Oreochromis niloticus: one gene and its partners. The protein of the gene in region 1 interacts with the protein of each later gene in a pairwise test. Links are inferred from orthologs where the notes say so. Each region holds a gene or a part of one and is shown on either strand. Other genes may lie near its edges. The genes, in order: fhl1a, mybpc1 and akap12b.

Evidence for each region.
Region 2: the proteins of fhl1a (region 1) and mybpc1 interact in a two-hybrid assay, tested with the Homo sapiens proteins (2 studies listed by BioGRID and IntAct). The link is inferred for Oreochromis niloticus from reciprocal best matches to the Homo sapiens genes FHL1 and MYBPC1.
Region 3: the proteins of fhl1a (region 1) and akap12b interact in binary tests that used the Homo sapiens proteins (3 or more experiments, as listed by UniProt). The link is inferred for Oreochromis niloticus from reciprocal best matches to the Homo sapiens genes FHL1 and AKAP12.

Annotation. Positions count from the first base shown.
Region 1 is NC_031966.2:19,264,184-19,274,292, forward strand, and holds the start of fhl1a (four and a half LIM domains protein 1a), read left to right. Parts: upstream 1-6,094; 5' UTR 6,095-6,195; coding exon 6,196-6,214; intron 6,215-8,766; coding exon 8,767-8,948; intron 8,949-9,905; coding exon 9,906-10,083; intron 10,084-10,109.
Region 2 is NC_031981.2:14,132,115-14,142,618, forward strand, and holds the start of mybpc1 (myosin-binding protein C, slow-type), read right to left. Parts: upstream 4,986-10,504; 5' UTR 4,766-4,985; coding exon 4,744-4,765; intron 1-4,743. Other genes in the region: spi2 (GA-binding protein alpha chain), read right to left, coding at 8,816-9,120, 9,491-9,644, 9,772-9,857, 9,942-10,026, 10,113-10,115. UniProt on the Homo sapiens protein: Thick filament-associated protein located in the crossbridge region of vertebrate striated muscle a bands. Slow skeletal protein that binds to both myosin and actin.
Region 3 is NC_031980.2:11,537,698-11,548,300, forward strand, and holds the start of akap12b (A-kinase anchor protein 12b), read left to right. Parts: upstream 1-5,854; 5' UTR 5,855-6,048; coding exon 6,049-6,183; intron 6,184-7,514; exon of another isoform or gene 7,515-7,547; intron 7,548-10,603. Other genes in the region: mthfd1l (monofunctional C1-tetrahydrofolate synthase, mitochondrial), read left to right, coding at 716-805. UniProt on the Homo sapiens protein: Anchoring protein that mediates the subcellular compartmentation of protein kinase A (PKA) and protein kinase C (PKC).

The DNA of each region.
Region 1 (10,109 bases):
AGCTGCAAGTATTTACTTTGAGTTTTAGAATGAGTCATCTTGATGTTATTCGTCTATTCATTACCAAAGAAGGAGGCAAGTGAGGCCAGCACAGAAGTGGGACAAAAGTGTGTGAAGTTAACAAGTCAGACTATTTTTTTCATTTTTTTTTATTTATTTATTTATTTTTTGTAGAATCAAAACTGAAAAAACAAAAAAATGCTGCAAGCGTTAATAATTTCATACCACAGGTTTCCTGTAGCGCAGACCTGCCGTGACACCCGCTAATGAATGTCAAAGTGTCAGTGCTCGCTGATGCAGATAAATGATAAACGATTCCTTTGTCTTGACTGTAGGACCGATGAGAACTTCGCTAAGAGGGCTTGTAAATTCCTGGCTGAGGTCATTGTTTATGAGCGCTTACAGAGGTTTGGCTGATGTCCTCAAGCTTCTTTTTTTTTCCTTTGCTCCCCCTGTCTTTAAAGCCTCGTCGCCTCAGCAGATTTCACCTCTCGGCCAAACCCACTGGACGCACTGCTGGCGTAGAGTGAAAGGCGCTCATCTTTACGCGTTGCAAAGGTGAGTCCAAACCGCAGCGCATTATTAGGCAGCTGCTAAAGTTCGCTTTAGTTTATGTGAAACAAGGAGCGGTTTATCACAAGGATGTTTGTGCCAAAAACTTACACTTAAAATGCGTAATTGTTACTTTTCTTCCTTATCGGACGGACATTTCAGACATTTAAGTTAATTACGCAAAGTGTCCGTGTGGAAATATGTAACATGCTTGAATTACTCTGAAATCAGCTGCCTATTTCATGCACTATGGCACGCAACAGGTGATGCGCTTTGTTTAGGGCGTCAGCCCGCATATATTTAAATGAAGAAGAAAATGTTCTTTTATGTATTCCGTATGTTTATAGATATATGCTTATGCTTACTTTTATTAGCAAATTAACTAATTCTAAGGTAATCTGTGAGGAACTCTTATATACTATATAATATCTGGATATAACTCATTTACACTCATAAGAATAGTTGCAAGAATATTGCTTTGGATTGGAAATCTAGTAACGGTTTGTACTGACATATATGTGCTACAGATACATTTTTGTTTGTATAATGAAGAGCAAAACCCAAAGGTATGATGTGTGGCCATAAACTGTGACAGCATAAACCAGCTTACCATCTCCTCCCTTCCCGTTTGGGCAGCTGCCAAACCAAATGCATGATGTCATTAAAGAGACCTGGAGATTACCGCTTTTTCTTTGGAACACTGGACCTTTTTGTGTTTCCAGTATGACTTCACCATCCTTCAAAATCCATAAAAACTTTGTACTTAAATGGGACATAAATTAACCCAGTTTCAAACTAAAAAGACTGTTCCTCCTGTCTAAGTCTTTTTTCTTTTTTTAACTTTTAGTAAAATCAGTATAAAAGCAGTGTACACATCCAAGCAGGGAGTGACAGATTATTCATTTATAAAGCCTGTTATGTGATATATAGTTGATATACATTTAAAGTGCTATGTGTCAGTGCCTGTGAGGGTACCTTACATCAACATCTGCCACACTTAGGCAACTGGGGGGGGTGTTTAAGCCAGCAGTTTATCCTGACAGAGACATACTTTAGTTAAGAGGGAAGTTCCATCATTTCTTTCATATGTGTAAACAGAGTGAAGAGAGAGACAAACAAAGAGGTTCTGCCTGAGTGCTGATGACTGAGTTGATGAAACGCATGAAACAGCGCTCTCACCAGCCCAGAACCTAAATAGGCAATGCTGCTTGTTTATCTGTGTGGGCCGACCCCGCTGAGAGGAAGTAATATCCTCTCTGTGCTCTGTGTAGATGTACTAGTCCTCCTTTATTTTCCCTCTTTAGCCACACAAAAAACAAACAAACAGAACATCGCTGAGAAAAATGTGATTGGGATTCTTTATCCTTTTGAAAGGACGGATCATGTTGTTATACGGTCTTTTATATACAAGTTCAATGTCAACACAAAAAGAGCAAATTTACACTGCTGAATATTAAAGTTATACGTAATTAAGTGCACAAGTGTGCAAAATGTGCCCATTTACAGTCATTACACAAAAATTAATTAGCATGTCACTGTAGCTGTTTGATGTGGGACTGAGTTCAACAGATTTAAATAGCTATATTTCTGTTCTGTATATGCTTTTATACAACTGCTATAGCCGTCAGTTAAATGCAACTGAGTGAAAGGTCATGCAATTTGGAAAGTATGACTTTATTTCATGTTAATTCCAACCTAAGTCAGTCTTAGAGTAACAAATGATTATGATGACATAGATCATGGTGTGATTTGGCCTGGAGAAGTAGGATAATGACTATGAAATTTAAAAAAAAAAAGGTACCCTTTTGCTGTTTAACATTATTTTATACGTACAAGTATAACATTGTATTACTCTGACAACCAGAACGCTGACGTGTGTTAGCAACACTCACATCTAAGATATATTAGTTCAACAAGAGTGTTACTGTGTTGATCGACCGTCCCTTGTGGCCTTTTCATTGGAATATATTTGACCTCGGCGTGTTTGGGTCTTGCAGTCTCATCCTGACCTTATGTCCATCTTGTAACACAGCTCCGCACATGAACAAATGGTTGGTGCGCTATGTCGCTGTGTGTGTGTTTCTGTGTGTGTTTGGTGAGTCACTGTTCCCCTGACAGAGATAGTGCGGCTCAGGCTGTCTGCCCACTAACCAGATTTGGAGGGTGACTGAGACACTGAGATGTCCAGGACACGAGGTCATGTTGAGAAATGAGCTCTCAGACAAATAGACAAGGGTTTTGTTGCTGTTGGTAACAATGAGAATGAGGGTGGCTGCCTATGTCAGTCACCCCGAATGACTTGTTATTATTCAGGAAGTACAGGCCAGATTTCCTGTCTCTCGGCGCTGCCAGCTTAGAGAGGTGTTAGATAAAGAGCCTGGAACCTCTACCTAAAAATTCATCAAATTCATTGCGTCTCACAACAGGAGCAGTTTCAAAAGTACACACACTGTGTGAGAGGGCATATAACTGCCTGTATTACTGTCTGTTTCCATCAGCAGTGTGGATGACTTTACAGCCTTTGTCCTCCTTTTTTCTCTAAATGTAAAAATGGCAAATTTATTACATCACCAACCTGGATTTTCTTATTTGGAACATATTTTAGTGAGTCAGCTGACCAGGGGTTATTTGGGTTTCCCAAAAAAGGATAAGTAGCAGCCAGGTACTTTTAATCAAATGCACTTGAATCACTGATCATCAGTAAATGTGAGCACATCTATAACAGCAGAGATTTTGGCAGTTTGCTGTTCTGGAGCGTTCAGTTGTGTCTTTAAGGGATGCCTAGAGGGAAAGACATCAGCAATGATCTCAAAGAAGCAATTGTTACTGCCCGTCAGTCAGGGAAGGGTTATGAGGTCATTTCCATACTGTCAGGCTTTGCAATGCTCAGAGAAACTGCAAAAAAACACCAAAAACCAAAGTGCTACATCTCAGACTTTGATAGCATGTTACTTCTGAAAAGCTGTATCTGAACAGGCTACAATGCCCTTTGGACAGGCGCTACTAAATTGGAGATGTGTGGCCATAATGCAGAACACCATGTTTGGAGAAAACCAAAAAGCATGTCAGCATAAATACCTCATACCAACTGTCGAGCAAGGTGGCAGAGGGTGACGTTTGAATTCGGTTGTCAGCCATCTGTCTGACAGCTGAATTTTGACCTAAATTGGGGCAGGCAGCAGGCCAACGATCCCAAGCAGAGGAACAAATATACAGCAGAATGACTGAAAAACAAAAGAATCACGGTGTTGCAAAAGCCTAGTCAGAGTCCAGACCTCAACCAGACTGAAATGCTGCGGTGAGACCTTAAAAAAACCTGTGAATGAACTGAAGCGACGTTGTACAGAAAAGTGGGACAAAATTCCTCCACAATGTTGTGAGAGACTGATAAGTACATGCAGAAAACAATTACTTTAAATTATTGCAGGCAGTTCTGCAAGTTAATGAAACGTGGATGTACACTATGTCATGTGTTGTTCTTCATTTGAGGTTTTACTTATATAAGGAAATTTAAATTTTAATATCTGGTAATATCTGGATGATCTATTATGTCCTGATGTGTAAAACCTTCTAAATGACAGAGTGTGTACCTTAATATTAAAAAATAAAAAGAAAGAAAAAAAATCCACCGTTTACCACCATCATCATAATTATCCCATTATCAGTTATTCAGTTTGTCAAACTGTTAGACTGTGACCTTTCCAATTTTCCATGGAGTATTTTGCCCCACCCCTTATCTTAAAAATTCACATGAAGTCAATGCAACAATGAGAGGAATGCATCGCAGTGCAGATAAGGAGATAAAGACTAAGACAGATGACCCAAACAAACTAAGGGAGAAAAAGGATGTGGGGCAAAATTATCTGGTTACAGACATAATAATCTGAAACAAGACTTAAATTTAAGTATGCAAATAAACTGAGAAGTAACAGATTTCCTGAGCAGACCATCTACTGGAGATTTTTATAGGCTTGGGAGTCATGGCGCCTCTCGACATATTGATTAGTCTTTGTGGGTTTGCAGTAATTGCGTGACAGATTATAAAAGAGAACAAATGTAATATTGTGTTCTATGGTAATGGACCAAATCGAATCTGTAATTACAACCAGATGCCCTTTAAACAGTGTGGCAGAAGCACACAGACACACACTCACTAGTTTGTGTGTATATTTAGATGTGTTTTGTGAGCAACATAGGACATTTTCTTTTCTATACACTGGTTAGGGAATAAATAGAGAGTTTTATGGTTCCCAACTCATTAGACTTTACTTTCTGTTAGTCTGTGGGCTTTCACTTTCCTTTAATTTTCGTCGTGGTCTTATATTTCTGGCTTTAAACTTGTCTGACTCTAAAAGCTTGAATGAATCAGAAGAAAGTGCTTTCTGTAGTTCTGCATTTGAGCTGACAAGATGATGAGAAAACAAGATGATGGTGACCATAATGTTTCTGGTATTAGTAGAAACAGTGGAAGTTAACTGAATGTAAGGAAGAACATAACATTAGGTCAAACGCTAGAACACAACTTTACTGTTTTAATTTACTCTTTATGCTTTTATATCTTTGTTTTAGGAAACAGCAGGTAGTTTCTTTAAAATTGTTATAAAAATATGTTGTAGACGACCTGCAAAACAACTGGCTAACATAGTGGAACATTTTGATACAAGTATTTACCTTAAGGAGTTTTCATAGACCATATCACAGCTAAAGAAATGTGAACATATTAGTTATATCTGATATACTGATTGATCCGGTGGTCAAATAGATAGCTCCAAATAATGATAATGTTGTTCCATATGTGCTGTTTGCTAACCAGAAGGGTTTTTTTTCTACTCATGACTTGGGAACCTGTCTTTTGTTTCTGTAAAATAATATCTAATCATTTTGGCCTCATGTTTCGTTAATAATAACAAATGTTTCTGTTTCAGCTGTTGGTCTGGGTTAAGTATTGTAATTGGATGAGGAGAATTGGTTTTGGCGAGAGTATTAGTGAGGAATTTGTGGGTGTTTCCTCTGGATTTAAATACAATATTCTTTCCTGAAATCTGAATCAACAAGATAACAGAGAAAGAATTCAGCACTCTTGGCTTCATTTTTTTCTATTCTTCAAACCCCACTAGTTTTCTCCATAGTATCCACTCATGAATATATAAGAGGAGATCCTTATATAACTCTCCACCAAACAGCTTCCCTCCTCAGCTCAATCAATATCAACTTGTTCCTCTTGTGAGTCATCCCTTTAAATTATCCCACATTTCAGCTGTACATCTTCTGAAGAGCCTAACAAAACATTTAAAGTCAGGGCAGTGGGAGTATCTGTTATCCCTCGCGGTCATCATTCAAACCCCCCAGACTGTGTTTTCCTCTTTTTTTTCCACCTGCTGATGTTACAGCAGAGGAATCCAATCTGCATCACCTAATCTCTGCATCATACTCTCTCTCTCATCAATCTATTCTCTAATGCATTCCCTAAAAAGGACAGGAGGGTTGAAGGTTGGATTTGGATGTGGGGTCGGGTCACAGAGGGGTATATACAGCCCCCCATTTCTTAACAAGATGTGTGGTCTCCAGGTTTGACCCTCTGTGGATGCTACTGACCCTGTGTTATCTTTCTTTTCTTCTTTTCGGCCTTTCTGGAAGGCAAACATGACATACAGACACTCAGGTAAAAACTTTTTGCCTGTTTTTTTTTTTCTAATCTGGTGCAAAATGTTTTTGTAACAGGTAAGAAGAACAGGTCTGTTTTCAGATAATGAAGTCAATGTGTTGTTTCTGATTGTTTTCAGAGAAACGGAGCAGGTCCGCTGAGATTTTCTTGATGTGTGAAACAACCTCACCTGTAATATGAATACGGGCTATTTTTAAATGATCAGTTTTAACATCTTCAGGTGGTAGTTTAAATTTTAATCAAAAACCTCACTAAAGTTCTGATACAGATATAACATTTCCCTTTGGATCAAAACAAATCTACAGAATAGTATGTATTAAAAAAACAAAACTTGAATTCAAGGACCTTTTTTTCACTTCAGAAGGTGGATGAGTAAATTAACACCACAATTAAAGCTCAAATATTCCCTGTACTTTATTTACTTTTCATGAAATGTAAAAAAAACATCCAGAGAAAAAGCATTTAATAAATTTTAGTCAATTATACTATGTGATAAGATAAGTATGCCAGTTTATTTTGTTCACCTAGCTGAAGCTGATGTAGCTGCATTGAATTTTACCTTCTGCGTGAATGTAATATTGAGTATTTATTGAAACGGTGTTTAAAAGGCTGATTGAACTCACAACTCTCATTTTAGAGGACGGGTTTGTGATTGTTAAATAGCATACATAACTACATATATAGTTACATCTACTTACACTATGGAGAATTTTGTATTTTTCTGCAGTAAAATAACTTAGTGGACCCAATAACTCCTCAATATATTGTATCATCATGAAAAGGCCATGTTGTACTATGGATTTGTGGTTTAATATTACAATGTGTGGATGTTCAATTATGTAGTGATTGTTTAAATGTGTTCAGGGGCCTATTTTGAAATTTTGGAAATTGTTCTTGCCATGCACCTTTACCTCTATAACACTTTCACATGAAGATGGGAACTTTTTCAGTAGGCCTTCTTTAAGGAATGTTAGAATCAGAGGCAAAGAACAGAACACGTCAACAGATATTATTTCGGCTGATATTCAGTCTGTCCAGTGTTTGACTCACTTCTTGAAGTGGTCTCACTGTGACCTTTCCCACTAAAGAGGACTCCTCCCCGAAGGGAGCACAGTGGTATACACCTCTCCCACCACAGCTGAGCATCATTGTACATCACGGCTGTTTGACAGGGGGCAGCTGTCACGCTGTTTGCAACAGCAGATTAAAGTCCTGGAAATGTGTCAGCTGGAGCCACAATAGCTGCATAGTCCCAGCAGTCATCAGTCTGCATCCATCTACATTTGTCCACTTTGGAAGGTCAATGGACTTTAAATAGAGTGTCCAAGTCTAAAATAGATCTCCGGGCTTGCTGGGCTTAGTAATGTGTACTGTGTGTGATTTGACAAGGTTGACTGTGTTGGACTGAAGGGGGTTTTGCCATGAAATGCTACAAGGGGGTGAGTTTAGATGGAGTAGGGCGTGTCACTGCTCAGGCCCCAGTCCAGTCTTTATCCCTCGAGCACAGCTGCAGAACAGGGCACACCACATAGCTCGCATCTCTTTCACGTGGCTTTTTTACCACATCTTACTTAAATAGCTCCCTGCATAAATGTTTTCTTTGCTCCTATGGTTACTGGGACAATTGTCATACCCTGCGTTGTTTCCTCTGTAGCTGTTGTTGCATCGCATTAAAATGATATCTGTGTATCCAAATAAATCAATTTTTCTAAAGTTCACAGACTGTTCAGCTACCCGTTCTGGCTTCCAGATAAGCTTTTAAAATGATCTAGATAGTGCTTATTTGTCCACCCTATGAATAACTATTTATACCAGAAAATGACTCCCACTGGATGTCAACTGTGATAGGAATGCAGGAATGTTGACCGATAAAGTAGCAAAGCCAGTCTGACATAAAGTTTACAATATCATCTAATAAAGTGACCTGGCCAAAACGCAAGACAAAAGATCGAATGTGGGCCGGGGCTCTGGGGAGACAGCTTTGAGGTGGAGGGGGTGAAGGGAATGAGTCAAATGGTCTAAAAATAAGCTTTCCAGGGAGAGCTTGATAAAAAAGTCTACAGGCCAGGAAACATGCAATCAACAAGTAGACATCTGTGGGCTGCTTTTTTACCTCACTCACACTTCTCTCATCACTTTGGTATGCTGCTGTTAGAGCCACATGTCATAGTGTCTCAATGGGAAAACAGAAAAAACATATACATCTTTCCACTGAAGACTAAATCTAAATTCAGCATCTATTTTTTTAGGTTAAGAGGTCAGATGTATATATTCATATATGTGGGTGGAATGTATTGTTGCTTATATTCAACCTGTCAATATAAGCAACTTCAAACTTACTCATTTGTTTGCTCTTAAACGCTCATTCTGAGCTGCCACTATAAGGGGTTCAAAATGCTTTATATGGCGATTCCATGGCTGTAGAAAAAGCAACAGTGCCCCCTGCTGGTGCTACAAGGAAACATCCTGTCATGTAGGCAGACCTAAACGTGGAGAGCAGATTCGCTGCACACATTCAGTGACACTCTCCTCCTCTCGTCTCCTCACAGGTCCCAGGAGTTATCTAACCTCCACCATGACTGATCGCTTTGACTGCTACTACTGCCGTGACAATCTGCATGGCAAGAAGTATGTGAAGAAGGATGACAAGCACGTGTGCACCAAGTGCTTCGATAAGCTCTGCGCCAATACGTGCGCAGAGTGCAGACGCCCCATTGGTGCTGACTCCAAGGTGAAAATAGTGTGGATGGAAAAGAATGATTTTTTTTTCTTGTTTAAACTTTGAGTGTAATATAAAGATTTCTTTTGTAATTGAAAAGAAAATACACACATGAATATATCCTAAACACTATTATACTTAATAGTTGTTCTTTTATTTGGTTCAATGCAAAGATCCTTAAATGGGTTAGGGTTTCTGAAGTCTTCTAGATATTCCTCGCAGATTCCAAAGACAAAATAAAAACATTTTAAAAATCATTTTGCAGAGAAGGAGACTTCAGATCTGCTTATAGCCCATTTTCACATCAGCCATGCTGAGTAGACCCAGGGTGCCAGCTATCTGAATTTAAAAATGCCTTTTGTAGATGTAAATCGTCACTAATGCAGACTGTCAGCTTTAATTCAAGGCCTTTAACTAAATTATAAACAGTTTAGGTGTAACAGCCAGTTTTATTCACAGGGCCTTAAAGTAACTGGACAAACTAAAATAACCTGACATAAGGGATTGTTCCTAATAATTTCCTCAAAATCCTTTGAAGGCAGTATTTGCTTGACCTTGCTGCTTGTCCAAATAATTGTGGACCTAACTGTATGTACTATAGGTTCAGAGTGCTTTCTGGCTTTAACTTGAGGTCTGGCTATTATAAAGCACCGACTTCTGCCTTGAAAATGCTCTCAGTACTCGGTCACAGGCAGTTAACTGTGTGAAAAGATGTGTCATTCCTAATAATGGAGCTTATGTACTTCATTGCGCATTTCCCCCATCTCAGTCCTCTAACTCCTTCATGGCTCACCACACCCTACTTCACTTCATTACCACTTTTATGCTGGTCACATAGGTTTGTTCTCTATTCGGCCCCTGAGCCTCAGTCCACATGATGAGTAAACAAACTCCATTTTAATGAGGGCTGCATGAGGACTTAGTGAGGGCACCTCTGCTCACCTCCCCACCCCTGCTTTTTCCCCTCAGGAGCTGCACCACAAGAACCGCTACTGGCATGAGGACTGTTTCCGCTGTGCCAAGTGCTACAAGTCACTGGCCAGTGAGCCATTCAGCGCTCGGGATGATGGGAAGATAATGTGTGGCAAGTGCAGCTCCCGAGAGGATGGCAATCGCTGCCAGGGCTGCTACAAGGTGGTCATGCCAGGTGGGTTTGCACCATATACACACCTT
Region 2 (10,504 bases), on another chromosome or scaffold:
TCGGTATCCGTAGCCAGTCTTGTTAATGATCTCACTGAGGGGGTTCAGGCCTATGCAGAACAGCAGTGGGGACAGAGCATCTCCTTGGTAGATCCCGCACTTGATGGTGACTTGTGCTATGGGCTTGGAGTTGGCCTCTAGTGTTGTGTGCCACATTCCCATTGAGTTCCTGATGAAGGCTCTTAGGGTCCTGTTGATCTTGTACAATTCTAGGCATTCCAGTATCCAGCTGTGGGGCATTGAGTCATAGGCCTTCTTGTAATCAATCCAGGCTGTGCACAGGTTGGTCAGTCTGGTCTTGCAGTCTCGGCTGACTGTTCTGTCTACCAGTAGCTGGTGTTTTGCGCCTCTGGTATTCTTGCCAATCCCTTTCTGTGCCCCGCTCATGTATTGACCCATGTGCCTGTTCATCTTAGCCGATATGATGCCTGACAGGAGCTTCCATGTAGTACTGAGGCAGGTTATTGGTCGGTAGTTGGATGGGACCGGTCCCTTCTTGGGGTCCTTGGGGATCAGGACCGTCCGACCTTCGGTTAGCCATTCCGGGTGTCTCTCGTTAACTAGCAGCTGGTTCATTTGTGCTGCCAGACGCTCGTGGAGTGCAGTCAGCTTCTTCAGCCAGTAGGCGTGAACCATGTCGGGCCCTGGTGCTGTCCAACTCTTCATACTGGAGACCCTTTCTTGGATGTCTGCCACTGTGATGGTTACTGGACCCTGTTCAGGGAGGTCGCTATGGTCTGCCCTCAGATCCACTAGCCACTGAGCATTGCCGTTATGGGTTGCGTCCTTCTCCCATATGCTCTTCCAGTACTGCTCCGTCTCCAGCCTTGGTGGTGCTGTTCTGTTATTGTTCCCTTGCCACTGAGAGTACACCTTTGCTGGTTCTGCGGAGAACAGCTGGTTTATTCTCCTGCCTTCTATCTCTCTGGTGTACCTCCTCAAGCGGCTGGCCAAGGCTGTGAGTCTTTGCTTGGCAGTTTCCAAGGCCTCAGGTATGGACAGCTTGCTGTATTTCTTATGCACCTTCTTTGTCGCGCCTTTCTGCAACTCCGTTAGTTGGCTAACCTCCCTTCGTGCTACTTTGATCTTGCCCTCTAGCCTCCTTCTCCATGGAGGGTACTGCCCCTTGTGGCTGTTCAACTTGTAGCCAAGCATCTCACTGATCACTGCTGCCGTAGTGTAGATCAGCTTGTTAGTGTCGGTAATCGTGGTTGTAGGTATCATCCGTAGTGCTGCATTAACATCATCTAGCAGACCTTCTGAGGGTACTTCACGTAATCTTGGTAACCGGCTAGGGGGGGTCCAGGTTTCAAGCTTGGCCATGATCCTATCTTTCAGGTCAGTTCCTCTCGCACTCAACGATCCTTCTCCTATCGCACTTGGGGCTATGTACCCAATCTCGGGTGGGGGTGATGATATCTCCCCCCTGACCTGGCGTCCTGACTCCTCCTTGCCGTAGCATTTATGTTGTACCTCGTCAATCTCTAGCTGTGAGAGCAGTCCCTTCTTTCGAATGTTGGAACACTGAGCTACCAGTTGTTTCGCCGTCATTGTGGATGTTGGGTATCGAAGAATCCATAGGTCCCTCATCCTATTCATGTAACCCCTTCCGCCAGGGTTACTTGCGTAGTAGCATTCCAACAACGCCCTGTTTTCGTCTCTTGCCCACCGATGCCTTCTTGTTCCAGTAGCCCACTTGTCGTCAGGGTGCCCCGGTTCCTCAACACCTGACGCGGACCTTGTTGATCCGGGCGACGTCCGAGCCGGCATGCCTTCATATTTATCTGTCTCGCTCATGTCTGCGGTAGGCTCACTTTAGCATAGGGGGTCTAGCCTTAGGACCCTTACTGGATACAGACGCCCCAGGCAGGAATCGAACTTGCGATCTTCTGCTCCAAAGGCGTGTAGTTTAACCACTACGCTATCCAGCTGCTGGATAGCGTATATATATATATATATATATATATATATATATACGCTATATATATATACGCTATATATATATATATATATATATATATATATATATATATATATATATATATATATATATATATATATATACATATATATATATATATATATATAAGTTTATTAGAGGGTTTTTTGGTACTAAAACACCTTGGATTCAAGAAAAATGTGAGATGTGGAGATTGTTTAAACCTGTTATTACAGCCATAAAAATGTATATTTAAAAAAGTGAACTTAGTACTTCATATTCATGACATTAAATGTCAGTGGGTGAACATATGGGAATCCCAAGGGTGGAATATTGTTGAAATGTCTGTATCCCTGTAAGAAAACTTTCCTTCCTCCGTGTATTGTCCCATCTTGTCACTGCCACCTGTTTGAAGCCCATCAGTGAAAACTGTAACCCTAATTCCTTGTGCAGCATGTCTACTGACATATATACATTTTCTTGCGTTGCCACTTAGCTTCTGATATCCCTCCATTTGTAATGATTCCCTCTTAGCATTCCTTGTCAAAATTAGCCACAGTCCTGTCTCACTCCAAAACAATGTGTTGCTGGCCCGTGTGCCAGAATCCTGCAGGGTCACATCATGTACCCAAGAGCGAGCCTTGCTCTCTGTCTCATCACCGTAGAGATAATGAGAGTGGAGAAAGGTTTTGTTTTACCTCTGAGGACTCTCAGTGCAGCTGACGGAGCTGCAGGTATTTTCAGCTGTCGCTGCTGCTGGCGTGCAGACAGAAGGGCTCATATGTGTATGGAAGCTAAACGGCCAGAGGCTTCATTTTTCCTAATATAGACCCCGATTGCTCTGATAAGACACTAAAGCTAAAGCTAATATAACCAGACCCTTTCTGGTGCTTTAGTTTCTCCATTTACTTTGACTTGTTTCTAGTTTGCTTTGATAACAACTACACTGAAGGACCCTTTAGGAATCAGCACTTGAGTGGCAGTTAGTTGCTGACAGGTTTCCCCTGTGTATTTCATCATGGGCTTGATTTGCTAGGTGGTATTCAGTAACACAAGTATTTGAGGATAAAGCCCAGGGGAGTGTTGGACCTTAGTGACAATAAATATCACGAGGTAAAAACGTGGCCTTTACTACCTCTGAAATTTTGTCACAGTTCATGAGGATCGCTGGGCACAGATTTGGAGATTTAATAGGGAGCTGCCTGACCTCTGAGTGATCCATCCTGAGCACAGGGTGGCAGGGAGGTGTCTGTTTTGGCGTGGAGGAGGGGCAGTGAAAGGAGATGGCAGTGAACAAGGGATGGGGATTAAAAGTGTGCTCATTCTGAACTATTCCAGGGACAAGAATCCTGCTCCCTAGAGATCCAGGGACAACTCAACCACTCCGTCATCTCTGGTTGGGACTTTTTAAAGGCTTGAGAGCCGGGTGTCTAAAACAACAGCCCCTACCCTCCTCCTCTTCAGCTGTTCAGACTCATTTAAAGAACAATACTTTTCCGCCCTTATTTATCTGCTGCTTGGGGCTGTGCAGCTATTTATGGGTAGTGTTTGTAGCAGACAGGAATCTGCTGCCTTTAATTCACCACAGCCTTGATTCCCGAGGGATCATGGATGGTCATGGCACCAGATGAACTCTGTAAGGACAGGTATTGATTGTCACATCACTTCGCACATCACACTCTCTTAACCGCAAACGACGCAAATAGAAAGGGAGCTAAATTTGTACTGTAAGGTACTGTTAGGGTTTTGTAGCTTTCAGATTGTCAAGTTAATCCTTTAATCCAGTATTTATAATGCTTTACGATCTAAAAGGCAAAGCTTGCTTGATGTACGACAACCCTCAGTCCTTTCAAACACCTACAACAAATTTTAATGGAAGGTAAATCAAATACAGAGATGTATTTGTTTACAAAGAGATGTGCAAACAATGCACAGCAGTCCAAGAGCTGGTATGGTCACATCAATCCTCTTCTAGAGAATCACAGATTTTGAAAGTTTGATTATCTGTAATTTGGAAGCCATCCAAAAGCTGAACAAAACATTTGATTTCCTCTACATGGGCATGTCTGGGTCAACAACAGATGCTACCCAGAGAGCTGAGCTAATGGGTAGAGTGGGAGTAATTCCATAAGGTAATGACAGACACAAGTGGATTAAAAGGGAATGTTGATGGACATGATGGTACAGATGAATGACAATCAAGTGCGAAAGAAAGATCCAACATGAGGGCGCGACAGGGGATGGTGAAGCTGCAGTTGAACAAAAACTCAATTGGAAGATATCTACAATCAAGATGTTATTTATCCTTACACGGTTCAACCCTCGCACTTTTTATCCAGCTTGCATCATCCCTCAGGGGTAGTTTTTTCCTGTGCCTTAGCACTCATCATTCCTTTCCTCTCCTGTGCTTCACCATCGTGTCTTTCCCCAGTCAAATCAATCTAAACCGATCCAGTATGCCAAGCTTTGCAATAATACTATCTGTTTGTACGCCTCAAATCTTCTCTTGTACCAAGGATGGTAGAAACACGCACGCATCAGTAATACAATACCACTTTCAAAGTCACTTTGAGGATTCCTATGAACAAGCTGGCAGGCAAGCCAGAGTGATGGAGCTCCTCACAGCCAGTAACAACAAACTGTGCTGCCCTCAATCAAACAAATAAAAAAAGCAGAACCACATTGTAAACCTTTAACTGTTGCAAATTCTCAGCATTTGTACTTTTTAAAACAATTAAAACATAAACTGCAACTGGTGGTTGGACCCCAGCTGCATGCTGGCAACATACTGTTAAAACTCCTACCTTTCTTTGTTGGCTCTGGCATCTTGAGCTGCGTCCCAAAGAAGCTACCAAGGAGTCAAAAGATGCAGGTAGGATTCTTGTGTGAGGCGTGGGAGCCTCCTCAGTCCAGGAGGGACAGATAGGTGCTGATGGTGAGCAGGACAATAGTGAATAAAAACCCTCAGAGACCCCTTGCAGCAGAGTGATGGGAGATAAAGAGGGCACAGGGATACGGTTTGGAAAAGTCAGTGGGGAGAAGAGGGGGACCGATAACAGATCAAGGAGGGACAGGCTTTTAGGCCTTATATAGAGATGTGGCATGCTCCTCCTCTCTGTAGTTGACAATGCAGCTCCATCCTATACCTACTGTAACATTATTGTCCCCTATCCCCATGCGATGCCATGAATTACAAGTGCATCAGGATGTTAAATTCACAACACTTTTAACTTGACTGATTTTCAAAGTTTGCATCAGTGTTTACAGCATATTTTGGGTGGTGTTTTAGAGTAGTAACATTATAAAAAATCATTGTTTGAGCATTTAAACACACAGATGGATTGTTTAAGATTTGTTTGTTTTTGTAGTAAGCTGTGCTTACAAAGGCTTAAACTTTGTATTTAGTGGAGAGTATTTTCAGTAGCAGATATTGTTTACTAGCTCGTATTTAAAGCTGCAGCGTGATATATGTGGGATCGACCTAAAAATAGACCGCACACATACATTGTGATCAAATAAATATGTCGCTGTGGTGCTGTACAGTACATTCAGCTACATGTGGAATTATGGAAATTCCAGATTTTGGATTTTTCCAAAATATCAACATTAGATTGACTAATTAGTCTTGAAATTATTTACTGTAGCCTTTATTATTTATCTTACTTTGCAATATCATTACTACTAAGATTGCTTCCGCGGTAGATCACTGGCAAAACAGGAGGTGGGATATAAAAGGAAAAGGTGTCGTCATTGTTAACAGGCCCGAGGCTGATGTAATACTCTCCGACAATCCTGGGTTATGCTCACATGATATACGACATATTCAGAGAATGTATGGATTCGTTATTCAAAAAAAAGAAAAAACTTAGAGTTGACAAGCAGGGGCTCAATGCCAGGTGCCAGATATCAGCTTAATCCAATGGGAATGCTGTCCAAGAACAGCAGGCTTTCCGACCTGGCAAATAAATAGTGGGGAGATGCCTGGGCACTGGTTATACGGCCTATACTTAGAAAGCTGTCATAAACCTTGACATTTGACATGTGTATCTGACATGAAAAGAGGGTTTCATTGAGATTTATGTAACTGAAAGGGTTGCTTTGGTCCTAATTAATCTTTTTAGCACGTCAAACTCAAGTGATAAATCAAACGTAGTCTTTAATAAGGTCTTGAAGACTAAATAACAAGGTTGAAAGCTGATGGATTTACGAGCGCCAACACACTGAAGCATCCTCACATGTACAGTGTCACTCTCCTGCTACTAACAAATATCACGAGCATGTTGGGGATCTCTCTCGTATGGAAATGGATGGCCCAACTGCACAGTCAAGGCAAGGCTGAGCTCTATTTTGGGGCTGTGGAGCAGGAATGCAGCTTAAAGCATTATGAAGAAAATGTGGCATCACTGCCCAGACAGTCACAGCTTATAGCAAAGCTCTTTTTAAATGAGCAGCAACAAAATTAGACCCATACTGCAAACCAAAGCAAATTATCATCCTGTGATTAGGAAGCATTCAATTTATCATACACTCCTGCCTTAAATGCCTATTTTCATAGTTCACTTTGTGGCCTTTCTTGGTAACAGACAACCATAGCTCAGTTAGCCCATTTATAACTGCAAGTGGGCTCCAGCAGTAAATACTAGGCTTAGGGAAGTATCATGTGGGCTACAAAGAGAACAAAACCATTTGGAGTTGCCTGTGAGGGACGAGACTTCTCATCACAGAGGAGGCTAAGCCGTGAGGTCACATCACACAAATGAAGTTTAATGGAAGCTGGAGGCGTTGAAAAGGACTACACTGACACCCTCTGGCTTCTAGCAGCCATCAAATCCATCACATGAGGAAAAACACAAGTGCAAATGCACATTTCTGTAGATTGAGAAAGACAAAGGCAACTTTGTTTCCAGGAGAACGTGTGACTAAAAACTACAGTTTTTCCTGTAAAATACTCACAACCAAAAGTGTATTTTGGATAGATGTATTTTTTAGGACATATGGAGACATGCTTGCAGAAGAAATTATATTTAGTAAGGAATAATTACAAACTATCTGCTTATGTAAAGACCTTACCCACACATGGATTTGAAATTTCAGGACTTCAGTGGTCAACGAACGGGACTTAATTCACATTTCTCTCCCTCTGTTGGTTATTTTGTATTCTAGATCGTATACAGATATTGAGGAGTGGGGATTCACCTGAAACCTGAGCAGAGTTAATTAACTGCACCTGTGTGCATATGCTCCGGGCTTGAAACTGTGATACTCAATTACATTGTTAGATTACAGACAGTTAGGATAACAGTGCGTTTTCCATGCTAAATCAATGCTGTAGCTGGGCATCAAGTATAATGTCCAGTTATGAAATATATAGCTGTCTTGCAAAGTGGGGCATTTACACGCTGAATAAATAACATAAAAAAATAAACATCAAATAGCCCACCTCTGTGTGGCTTTTTTTCCACATCACATAGTTTAAAATCTCAAGTGTGAAAACTTATAAAAGGTTTTTATCGCATTTTTATTAAATACCATACTGTGCAAAAGTTTCAAGACACCCCTCCTTTCTTTGTATTTTGCTTCCATGCAGCCAGACTTTCTTGTGTTTTTTAAGTGGTCTTAAGTATCATTTCTCCAGGCTTTCTGAAAGTTTTTCACTCATTTTTAGTCCAGTCCTCGTACCTGACCACTTTCAGAATAACATTTTTGTTTGTTAAGCTACTTAAGACTACTAAAAAAGGCCTTAAACCTAACACCTAACTCAAGGGATGAACCAGTATTGGGTCTACACATAACAGAAAATTAACAATGGGTCAATTTTAAGTTCTGTCTTTATGAACTTTGTGACTCGCAGTTGCATGTGCATTGCAAAAACACATAATTTCTTTAGTTCAACCTACAAAAAGTGCTAAAGGTAACAGTGAAGGTAAAAGTGCTAAAGGTTTGACAGGCATAAAAGGTGATTCCCAGATAGCTTTCAGCCAAAAACTTGGCATGTCTCAGCATGCTATGTAGCATGTTCTTAAAAAACTGAGGAAACTGGATAAGTGGACTGCAAAAAAGAAGAAATGGCAGGCCTTAAAAAAAACAACAGGTGAAAATTATCTCAAAGTTATTTCCTTAAGAAATAGGAAAAAATCCAGAAATACCCTGACACAGGACCTGAGAGATATATCTAGTCTTTCAGCTGATTCATTCAATACTTCCTGAAGCCGCATCAGAAACATGCAAATATTATGTGGACCTGTTCTTTATAAAATCTTCAAATGAGCTTCAAATGTGTAATTAGGTGTACGGTGAGTGATTTCAGCTGTTTGTGGCACACGGATTGGAAAACTTCGATGTTTATGTAAAAGTTTTCCAAAAAATATTTTTTTAAATGGAGGTAGTCCGGCAGAAAGTCAAAAGCCAAAACATTATTTGTATGTATGCATTTTATCTCAGCCCTGATAAAGTCTCTGGAAATTTGCATTAAAAAACATTAATAAGCACATCTTTGTTTTACACTTGCACCGTTCTTGCCTCCATAAACCAGAATAACCAGATTTTGAATAAATTCATTTCTGCATTGAAGCCTCTGACTGTCCATCAATTATATTCTACCTCACAGATGCAAAAAAAAAAAGCTCCACAGCAGTTCGATTGGGACATTTACTAATAAAAAAGTTTAAAAGTCAAACTCCATAAAGATAGAAACAGTAACAGTAAAATATTTCTTTATTCTTTTGATATTTACACCACAAGCCATCAATAGTACAATATCTAAGTAATAATGGAAAAATGTAGGAAATGAAAGTTGAGATTAACAGACTTTATAAACAGGAAAAAAAGAGCACAGTTCACTTCACATGATATGAGCTACAGAAAATTGAGCCTGCATTACAAATCTCGATGACATTTCTGCAGCAACATCAGGGTGTCTCGGCTAAACTGATAGGTGAGCTTCTTCTTCACCTTGAAGATCTCTCCAGACCGGGCGTAGTTTCTAAGCGCCCTGGACATCTTCTGGTAGGTCATGGGTCTCTTGTTGCCTTTTCTCTGTCCCCACAGTGCAGCCACCTGGTCCTTATTCCTGGAGGAAAAGCGGAAAACACCGGCGGCAGCTGGCACCCAGGACAAACAGTGGGCCATGTTTGGATTCTCCAGCATCTCAAAAAGGAAGTGAAAGAGTCGCACCCTTTTACCTGCAGCCATTATGCAAACAGTAAGTGGCCTGTATGATGAAGGTGGATTTAAAGAAAGACTTAACGAAAATCATGGCAGCTGTGCCAAAACAGTTACTACAGATTACAGTTAATCGTTTCCTCAATTGTCGCATATTCCCAGAAAATCTCTTCAGTGATGGGATGCCATTTAGTGGAGAGGCTAAAGCTGTAAACAGTGTGATTATCTGATAGATATGTAAAAACAGCTATTGTGGTAAGCGATGCACGGCTCCATTGTTTTTTACGGTAAAGGGAAGGTCTCTTATTTGCTCTCTTGGTATTATTTCCCTCATGCTGATAGCAACAGAGACAATAACAGTATCCAGTGACCAAAAAAAGCAGAACTCACCACTCCTCCCTACTGCGGCTGGGTGTTTGGTTGATTTTCTTGTTGTCGCGAAGCTTGGCACTGACCCACGCTCAGACAGTGTTGCTGTTGTGTTTTGGCCGAGTCCTGCTGGAGCATCTTGTGCAAGAAAGGGCTGGAGTGCAGGTTTGATGTTCTTCAATTAGGGAAAAAAGATGAAGAAAAGAAAAGAAGAGAAACAGAATTTCCAATTGCAGAGTGCTTACCAGCCTTTAAATAAGTGAGAGAAAACAAGTGCTAAAATACAAAGTATTGATGCATACAGGTGGCTCATAGTATGCCCAGAGTTGCTTGCATGTTTCGTCTGCAGGTACATTTCTTTCCTCCATAGCCGTCCAACGCACCTTGTCTGTCAGAAAAAGCAGAAAATTACTTAGAAGCTGTAGTCAAATAAAATCAGAGAATAATTAGTAGATTTCCATTTTCTGCTTACCATTTTCTGCATTGTTTTGTCTGTGATACTCCTCGAGGAACTCTAATATAACCTCCAAATCAGACTGAGTCTCCTGGAAAAAATTCTGATAGATGTAAATAATATAAAACCAGCCTTGAATATGTCAGAATTGAAAAGATGTTGCAAGAAATTCTGAAGACTTCTCTTTACCATCACTGATAAGGTTGATTCGAATGCAGTACAGTCCTTGCAGAATGGGAGAATTACACACAACTGACACTGAGACACTCAAGTTCGGGGACTCTTATTATACCCCCCACGGGAGCGGGCTTTCTGCATACATAAAACCAAACGTTTTCTACCCTGGGCTCGCAGGAACAATGACCACCATCCCACAAAGCCCCCGACACAAGCACCAGTCAACCCATCAACAAAGCCTCCCAGCACTGACCACATCCTCCCCGCTGAACCAGATAAGACCTGGCCTGGAGGCAGCTTCTACACAATGCTCTCGATTCAGGAAAACACACACTTGCTGACACATTTTTCCTCACAGGATGTGTCTTAATTTCATATTTTGTGTGCCTGTTGTAATATTTCAC
Region 3 (10,603 bases), on another chromosome or scaffold:
CAGTAAAAACAAAGCTGCCATTTTCTGCGGGCGTATTCATCACCGCCAACCTTGAGTTAAATTAAGTCTAGATTACAGTTATTGAGCTTGTGTGGAATGACCCTATTCTGTCTAATTTACACAAGTTGTGATGCTAAATGTTGGCAGATGGTGTTTTGGTGTAGAGCAGCTGTGTTGTGGTGACGGCCTTAATGTGAGGTCATTATATAGATTGTAATTTTACCTTCTTATCTGATTTTTGTGGCCACTGACAGTTTCATGAGAAGATCTGTACCAGCTGCGTGTGCTTCCTCGGATATGTCCACTCATTAAAAGCTTTCTTGAAATTCAACTAGATTAGGATAATGGTAGACGACAGACATATTCTTTTTTCTTTCCAAATTCTATTGCTTGTTGATGAGTTTAATGTCATCTGAGCATCTTTTTCATTTCTAGGCAACGTGGATTGTCACATAAAAAGGTTTTTAGTGCGTCCATTAATTCAGTAGCTTATAAATCAACCTCTAGCATTTGATTAGCAGTGGCTGCTAGTTATTCTCTTAATTCTGTGGTCTGATATCTCCATATATGCATTTTTGGTGACTTCTCATCAAACTCTTTGTTGGGTACATGATGACAGTAAATGATTGACATAATTAAAATTAAATAGATCAAAATTAGATTTATAAGAGTTCAAATATGGGTTAAAGTTCTTCTCTGATGTGTTTTCCCTCAGATGAGCACAATGCCTGGCCTGCCCACACGACCCTGTTTCTACGACATTGACCTTGACCCGGTCACGGAGGAGATCACTGGGCTCTTCTGAGCATGCTCCTCAACGTTATTCTCGTGGGTATCATCTCATCTGTATCATATAAATTATTCTGAAGAAGCTGCCATTGTTTCGCTTTACATATTTCACAAGCAGCTATTGACAGTACGGTTCGTTACATCGACTGGCTGCCGGGATTTTGCTGCGTCTCCAGGCTCAGAGGCCCTGCAAACATCTTTGTTTTTGTTTTTTGGTTCCCAGGCTCCCTGCTCTGTTTTCAGGATCATGGGCTCCATGCATTCACCATAAGGCTCATCTAACCCCAGCGCCACTGGCAGGAAACAATTTCTTTCTCTTCCCAGCTGATCCGCATCAAAGCAACATGGAAGAAGAGGGAGGATTAGCGGACCATTAGATTAGCATTATGCTGCATTTGCACGTGTGTCATATGCCAAAGACCGTGCCCTACAACCATATATATGTATATCATACATCCTCTACTTGTGTCAACTTTTTTCTGGGTATAGAAGAGTCTGTTTACTTGGATTTTATTTTGTTGTTTCCTTGGATGTCTAACTTCTGTTTATTTTTCTGGAAAGAAAATCAAATGTCTTAATACAGTGTTGTTGTTTTTTACCTAAATGCAGTGAGTAGGCAAAATTGTGAATTAAGATGCTGGTGTACGCACAAAGAGCCCTGATAGTATTCATGTGACTTTGAGTGTCCTAATCTGTTAAGTGGTGCTGAATGTTAAAGATGCTTTACATACACTGGGAAACACTACAAATGTCAATTATGTTCATAATTTCTAAGCAGTTTTTTCTTAGTATTAGTAAATTATTTTGTTTTGTGGTTTGACAAGAATACATTGTGCTTCTGTCATGTTATATATGTTGTTTGGAGGTATTTCAGACAATACCGACCAACTAGATTCCGGAGCTTCTTTAAGTATTACCTTCAGAAAAGATTAAGTCAGCTATTCCCTGAATTTTCACTTTTATTCCATAGAGTGTAAAACAAACAGAGGTACTATATGAAAACATCTGGTGCAATCCTGAAAGCTGCTGTATGTCAAACATTTCATTTGTCAAAGATCAAAAGTGCCTTACAGCAGTAATAATAAACCTTTTCTTCACTCCAAAACTGTGTATTTCTGTTTTTACGTCAAGCATCTGACATGAGCTGTTTTCTTGCTATCGTCTCGCGATTCTTTTTGAGATGCTGCGATACAATCGTGCCTCCTTTCACGGATGAAACCTTTAAGATTGTCTGTGCTTTTCTCATTTCTTCCCATGTGTTTTGGAACGGTGTCTGAAAACAGATGATCCCCACCCCCACCCCCCAGCAGCACCCCAGGGTGCAACATCTGTCATTATGAGGTGTTTGGGTTTTCAGCATGAAGCCAAGTGTGCATGTGTGCACATGTGTCATAGCTGGCATTCCACACTTTCAAAGTCTCCGTGTTATTCTGCGTGTTCACCTGGCAGTGGGAATCTTATACAGTAGCACCCCAACAGCAGATTTAGTGTGTGTGTGTGTGTGTGTGTGTGTGTGTGTGTGTGTGTGTGTGAGAGAGCGAGAGAGACTGAACCCTCTTGTTTTGATCTGATGACAGATTTAAAGATGTGTTGATAAGCTGTACACTTTGGCATTGCACTGTAATGCGCTGACAGATCCTTGTTTTGTTCGGTTAGAGTTGTTTACAATGAGTTTTTGACTCCATCTGAGAAATTGTTTAGGCTCTCATCTTTTAGCACTTCTGGACAGATTTAATAGATTTTCCAATTTCAGTACCAAGGACAGTGTCCTGTTGAATATTTCATGTGAGAGGAATTCCAAGAGTTTCTGGAAAATTGGTCCAAATAGTTGAAGCTGAATGATCCTGGTCCCCAAACATCCAATTCACTCTCAGTTGTTTCAATACCTTTATACTAAAAAAGTGCTACATTAACTGGGTCCTCTATTGAAAGTTATTCAATTAGTTTAGATTCTAGCTGCTCAGCAGTCCTGGGTCTATATGCTATGCTTCTCAAATAAACAAACTGGTTCATATTCTAGAGCCATCCAGTCTGCAGAAAACTATAAAGTGGCGAGTATCTGCTTGTGAATATTGCTGAACACTCCCTCCTCTAAATGTGCCTTTAACGTACCCTTACGCTACTATTTCATAGAGCTCTGAGCATGACATATCTAGTAATGCTTTCAGTGTAATGAGAACATCCTTCCTTTTTCCTCTTCCATGTGACACCGGCACTACAATACTGCTCATTTATAGTGTGGACATACCCTCTGTCTTGCTGTCTCAGTTGGTGTTCATGAGTTTGTTCGAGATTTTACAAGATTGTCAGCTCTGCTTGACATCTGAGTGTTATTGTAATACTGTGTTCAGTTACTCTTCTTGAAATCTCCACATTCCTCTTTTCACTGTGGCCCAATAGCTCTATCTTTTCTCCCCAAAACTTTTCTTTGGCTTGTCTATGCGGACAGTAAATGGCAATGTAGACTGGCTTCACTGTGGACAGAGTTCTAGCACTTTCCATTTCATTGCAAGCTTGAGCCTTAGTGGTTCCATGATTGTTTCTGATCATCCTAACCAGTTTCCCATTAATCTTCCCAAAGTCCCGACCTAAACCCTACTGAAAACTTGTTGGCTATGATTTCCTGGCGTGGTCCCAGCTTCTAAGTAATCAAATCAATGAACTATACCAATTATCCCAAGAATAGTGGGCAAATATCCAAGCAGAATTATGCCAGAAGCTTGATGATGGCTACCAAAACTGGACTGATCGAGGTGCACCTTGCTAAGGGACATTAAACATCACTTTGGCTGCATCAGAACAATGATGTTACCATTGTTTATTAGATTCAGACATTTTGCCTTATCTTCTAGACATACTTACATTTAAATCAAATCTTTCTGGAAGTCTCAAATAAATCCCAGTCAAAGCCAGTTTACAAAGTCAAAAGGGTTTTAAAAATTCAAAGATGGAAGTCTCCATGACACAAAGCTATTTTTACTGGAGAAAAAATAAAAGATGTATAAAGCAGCAGTGAGTGGTCATAACAATCAGTGTATGTTGCTTTAAATGAGTCCACCTTATATTACCAGTAAGTAGCAGATGATCTCCAGTCCCTTTCAGCTCATGTTGCTGTTATTGTTTCATAGTTGTATAATGTGTCCTGTGTGTTTTACTGTTTGACAGGTTATATCCTGTTATTTCTGAGTGTTTCTCTGTGTAAAGCCTTCATTTGTGTTGTTGCACTACGTGCTTGGGTTTGTGTTTTGGTTTAGCTGTCGGGACCTTAAGTTTAGGCGTGTGTGAACTTGGCTTAAAATTTTGGACTATAATTTTTGTGTTCAAAAATTCCAAACAAAATGACACATTGACTCAACCTACAATTACAATTACCTACAAACCAGTTCTGTAAACCAGAGTAACTGTACACACACTTCATCAGAACAATGAATCACAGCAAAATGTAAACAAGATTAAAAATCAGGATCTAAAGAGATGTCAGAGAGATTACGTCATGGAGCGAATTCAGCTGGAATAACAGAGACACTGTTTGTTGTGTTGCAAGTGTTATGAAGGTTGTGTTAGTGTTTTCACATGAAGCACAAGAAAGATTGTTTTCTCTGCAATACAAAATGAGGTGGATGTCAAAGTAAAGCCAGGAGAACCTTTTTAAACAGGAGGAGAAGTCTTACCCTACCCCTAGCATCCTCTTCTCTAACTTTGTCTCCAAACTGATCAACCTGAGCTGTCTCTCTCATGGATATGTAATTCTGTCTATCCTGCATCTTCAGCTCTGCCCAGCATGTCTAAATACCATTTTGCTGCCGTCATTCTGTCACAATTCACCCTGCCACTCGTCGTCACTTGTTTGCGGGTCCTTCTGCATTCAGTTTTGTATTAAATATCTGAAAAGCATACTCTGTTTGGGTTAAGATCAAGTAACTGATGTGGCCATTTCTCATTTCTTTGTGAGACAGTCTCAGGTTGCTTTTGCAGTAAGCTTTGGATCATTATCCATTTGGACTGTAAAATGCTGTATGATTAATTTTGTAGCATTTGTCTGAATCTGAGCAGAGAGTGTAGCTCTGTACACTTCACAGTTCATCCTGCTATTTCTGTCATCAAAAAACACCAGTGAGCCAGTTCCTCTGCAGCCATACATTTACCTTCCTCCACTATGTTTGACCGATCACAAGCTGTTCTCTTTCCTTCTCTCCATATTTTTCTCTTCCTATCATTCTGGTGCAAGAATTACAACATTTATATATCTATATCTATATTTGGCAAAGTCAAATCTTGTTCTTGAGTGTAACCAGTGGTTTGCACCTCTTGACCACCTTTTGTTATCTTCTTTTCTCGTGTTAGATATTCCAGTGAAAGCTACTAAATGCAAGTTCAATATTCTGAATGAACTAGATCTTTGATTAAATTTGTCATGACAACAAGGGAAGAGGTCTTAGCTGCTTATCAGTCAGCTGACCAATTCAATCTGCGCCTCTGAAAATCGGGCTCTATGCATAAAAATGTCTTTAATTCCTAAAAAAAAAATTTAAAAAATGCATTTTTGTTGTTAAACCACTTGAATTACAAGTCTGCACTTTTCTCACACTTTGACTTATTTAAAACTCATTGAATGTGGAAAAAATGTGTCATTTTCCAGCAACTCATGGACCAAACTGTAAAAGTGCACAGGTAAATTTTGTCCTTATATATGCTTCCTGTCACCAAAATCAAGAAATAATGTGCACCATGGTTTGATTTTATTTCACTGTTTTTTATGCCCAATGACTCTTCTTAATTTCTCTTTTTACCAGTGGCATCAGTGGTGATGTTTACAACTTCTGCTCAAACTTGTCGGATTTCTACCCTCGTGTCATTGCTGTGTTTTTAAAATTGCTCAAATTTAATTTACCAGAACAGAACAAAACTAACGGATTAATGCGGCGTGTGAAGAAAAGGCCCTTTATCCTTTTAATTACTTGACCTCCTCTTCCCTCGTTTGTTTATCCTCCATCCAACTCTGCTCCTGCAAGGCGTGCCGCTGCACACCGGAGCCCCCCATGTGATACTGACGGGAGATGCAAGAGGTGGGGGCGTCCTGAAAGAGTTTGCCAGTGCCGACGCTTCATCACTCCAGATCCAGGCCACCCCGGGGCGGAGCTGCATCGTACATCGGACGCTTTGGATATTCGCTCCCTAAACACAGTCGTTCTGCTCTGGCTCCGTTTATTGCGGAGGCTTATTTAGACCGAAAGTAGCCAAAGACGAAAAGAGTTGGCCATGGGAGCACAGAACTCAGCGCAGCAGGACGGGAAGAGCCAGGAGGATGCCTCAGCCTCAGCTTCAGCCTCCGCCGGGGATCTCAGCGCAGAAGTGAAGGCGCACCAGGAGGGAGACAGCGTCCTGGACAGCAAGGTACAGCCGACACTTGCGCCTTTTTAGCTCTGTCACAGTAAACAAGACCCCCCCACCCCTGCACGGTGAGCAGAGAGACAGACCCGGGGGCGGGGGGCTGTATCTGCGTATGCTTCCAGCTGTAAAAGCTGTCGTTTTGTGCATTTATTGTGAGTTCACCTACATGTTTGCAAACATACCTGTCGCCCCCCATCCCGCCCCCCAGCCTCAAATCATGTGCTTCGCTGTGTGCATGAGTAATGTGCTGCAGCGCACCAGCTCCATGTGCGCCTGACGCTGTTTTTGCTGAGTAATGGGTCGAGTCTGCAGTCCCGCAGTAATAAAACGCCAGCAGCAGCTCAGCCTGGTCCAGGTTTACAGCCACACAGGGCACCGTTTAGTCCCGGATAACGAGCATATTTTTCTTTATAGAGTAGGAACTGATTGATTTGACCGCTTTCGGCCTGCTTTGACCGGGAGAAATGACGGATGTGATTCTCACAGGGACCGATGATTGCATAATTAATGTTCCTTAACAGCAAAAATTGACAAAAGTTATTTTTATACTTCATCATAAACTATTAATCCCAATGTTCTTTGTAATTCCCACATCTTTTTAAAGATGGCACAAAAAGGTAAAAAACAAAGAAACCCCCAAACAATTAAAACTAAGAAAATAAAATGTGTTAATAAACAGAAATCTGATAGATACTCAGATTTTCATTACATAATTTTAAAACTACATGCATTACAGTTCAAGAGGTGGTGTTGTTAGTCCAATGTCAATGTTGATGTTAGAGCACTGAAGAAACACCTGTTTTTATTTTATCTCTGCAAGACAGGAAATAGTTAAAATGCCTGTTATGATGTCTCAAAGCCCAAGATGCCACCACTTTAACAGTCTTAGACACAAAGATGAAAACATTCAGTTTTTATCTAGCGCCAAATTCTTTTGGAGGAGAAGGTTTGGCATTTGTGCTTGAGAAATGACTGATGGGGAAAAAATAAACAGGCCCACTGATCAGCTAATTATTTAAACCTTTCCCTTCAAATGAAATCCAATCAAATCAAGCACTTTGATCTCGTGACTCAGCTGTTAGGAGTAAACAGCATTAAAATGCTTTACATTTCCCATAAGCTGGGCAGTTTTCCAACTCTAGTGTCACATTTAAGTCAGATGACACTTCCCGAGTCCCTCTGAAAGTGCAGGAAAGTGCAGAATTTAAAGATAATGAATGTATTTTTATTTCTCATTAACTTTTGTTCTGTTTTTTTCCACATTTGAAATTAAAAGTATATAAAATATTCCTATTCCAAAAAGCTAATATGCTGTTTTCACTGCTTTAGCCCTGCACCATGCTGGGGTCCAGCTGCCACCACCTGAGGTATCCTGCAAACACTGCACTCTTACCAATGTGTCAGTTGCTCAGTATTGTGTGAATGCATATTTGGAAAGTGCCTACTAAGAACTATTTATGTCTTCACCTTCTGCTCTGTTCACGCCTCACATAACCCATTGGATTTATTGAGTGTTTTATAGATTAGAGGGCAACAGGTTACATTTTGTGGCCCATCTCAGTCTCTTTAAGGTCAGCAGAGAGGTCACATGATACCTTGGGTGGGGTAAGGGGGGGGGGGGTACATTAAGAATCTAATCCAGATTTGAATCACGGTCGTTGCTTCTTGTTTATTTCCAAAGAACGTCTGTGTGGCGGTTGGACGTTTTAGCCTCAAGCCTCGAGCTCTTATCTCAGGTGTCATCATGGATTGCAGTGTTTTCACTTGTATTTCCAACTAACTGTGGGGACTTTGTGATATGCAATATTTCAAACCTCCGGGGTGTTTTAGATACATCTGTTATTCTCTGTGATTTCAACCGTGACAGGTTGGAACAGTTTGTGATTCCCAGTCTACGTCTCTGTCACTGACAGTAAATTTCCAGTCATGCTGTTTTGCTTTTTCCACATCAGTTATTACCAGCTAGTATCAAATATTACTTAATTTGTGGAAAAAAATGAGAATTTGTAGGACAGATCTTTATTTCTAATTGGAGCAGAGTCATGGATCTTTAAGGAGACCTTTTACGCCCTCCAAAAAAAAGTGAAATTTACTAACTTTTCCTCTCAGTTGGAGCGAGCTCACTTTGCACGCTGTTGCAAGCATGAGCCTCTAGTCATGGGTAAATGGATGTTTTCTTCTCTAGTGGTTTGTTTAGTATGTGTGGTTCAGTAAAAGGAAAATACTACCCGCATGGAAACAACACTGAAAACAAGGTTTGTGTGTTCTTGAGTAAGAGTCACCACTCGCAGAGATGATGTTGCTGCTGAATCTTTTGTCACTTCCACTGAAAAGAAAACACATCACATGTCTAAAATGAGAAAAGGAAACATTTTGAGAAAAGTATCAGTTCATTTAATTTCTTCATTCGTTCTTTTGCCAAGAGTTTGTTGGGGAGACCTGGATGGGAGCATATGTTGCTTTAAATCCTTTGTATGCCTTTCAGCACTGATGGTGCCTTTCCAGATGTGCAAGCTGCCCATTCTATAGGCACTACCACACTCCCATATCATCAGAGATTTAAGCGTTTGAGTGCTGATGACACGCTCTTTAATGTGTAGAAGAAGTTGCTGTGTCCACGTTTTCCTAAAAGAATTTCACATTTCGATTTGTCTGACCACAGAACAGCCTAAATGAGCTTCGGCCCACTGAAGGCATTTTTGGATCACAGACAGCGATCATGGAAGTGTTCCTGAGGCCACGCGGTGATTTCTTTGTCAGAATCACGCTTGTTTTTAATGCTCTGCCGTCTGAGGGCCTGACGAACACGGGCAGCCAGCATTGTTTTTAAGCCTCGTTCCTTGCGCACAGAGATTTCTCCAGAATTTTTCTGCGATATTATACACCATAGATGATGAGATGATCAGAATCTTCACAATTGTTGAACCTCTGTCAATCTTCAACTCTGAGAAGCTCAGCCTCTATAAGATGCTCTTTTTTATGTCCATTCATTTTGCTCACCTGTTGCCAAATTAACTCGGTTTTTCCTCAAAATAGTTCATTTTCTCAGTTTAAATATTTGACATGTTTTCTGGTTTCTATTGTTTTCTTCATTCTCTGAACTGTTACTTTTTAAATAATGTCTTTAAAAAACTCCTCAAACTAAAACCTTCCTAGAGTTTTTTTTTTTTAATGAATCGCTTGTTTGTCCAGCAAATAAAAATCTCAACAACAGCCACACATAATCTAATTAAAAAAGCCGGAAGCTGGAGCTTCGGCTGTGTTTTGTATGAAAATGAGATTTTAAAGACTAAACAAATATTTCCACGTCAGTTAAACTGACAGGTATTTGACCTCTAGTCAAGACTTCAGACGTTTTCTTGCTGTTTTCCTTTTAAACCTTGTACGTGTGTCGTCCAGCACAGAGGAGAACCATGACCTTGTCTGTGGCTCCCAAGTATTTTATACTTGAACCATCCCACCAAAAGAAAGGAGTCGCTGGAAAACTGCTGTTTTCTCTGTAAGTGATACACGTCTATCTAAGATGAAAACAGATATTTTAAATCCATTTATTCAGAACAAACATCAGAGTTAGACAAAGCATGTAATCTTTAAGGGTCTATTTTCACGTACATTTGTATAATATGTTGTATTTTGGGGCGAGAGCGGGAAGCGTGTGTGTGCTTTGTTGGTTGTAGCGGTTGGAGCCTTCATGCTTGATACACAGTCGATAAATATCCTCCTCACTCCACAGAGGAATGTTAGAAATGTCTCCCTCTCCACCAGCGCCACGGCCCGCCTTGCTCATACCACTGCGTCTCCTCGACCTCACGAGTGTTATCAAAACGATCACATTACGCTTGTAATTTAAGTAGGTGTTTCCGAGACATTTTGCTTTTAGCGCAAAAATGTTTTTCTTGAACCCACCTCTGCTGGCTTTGCTGCTGTTTACATGACATATTCTGTGAACTTAGAGGCTCAAAATAAGAAGTAAACATTCATTTGTGCTGGACAAAATAAAAGTTTGTCCAGCACAAATGAAAAAAATAGTTAAAATGAAGAATCAAAGAATTTAGATCACACAGTACTACAACTCCTTCTTTCTGTTTGTCTCTCTATACTGCTTTTATACATAATATATCTAGAATGTAGTCTCATAAATTTCTCCTCAATAGCTTATATAGAATCTGCTGCACTGGATTCTGTTCAGAGCACAACGTGTAAGCTCGTCTTTTGAAAACCCCTAATATATTAAGCCTGAATTTTTAGGAATAAAGATGTAAAATCTTGCAAAATTTGGGAATATTTGCTACCTGATGGCAAGTGCATACATTTATGATTAATACACAGAAGCAGATTGTTTAAAGCAAAGGTCTTCTTAGCTCTCTGATTATTTAATATTGATTAGAGTGATTCTGCAATGCCTGGAAAAGTTTCCAGGGAT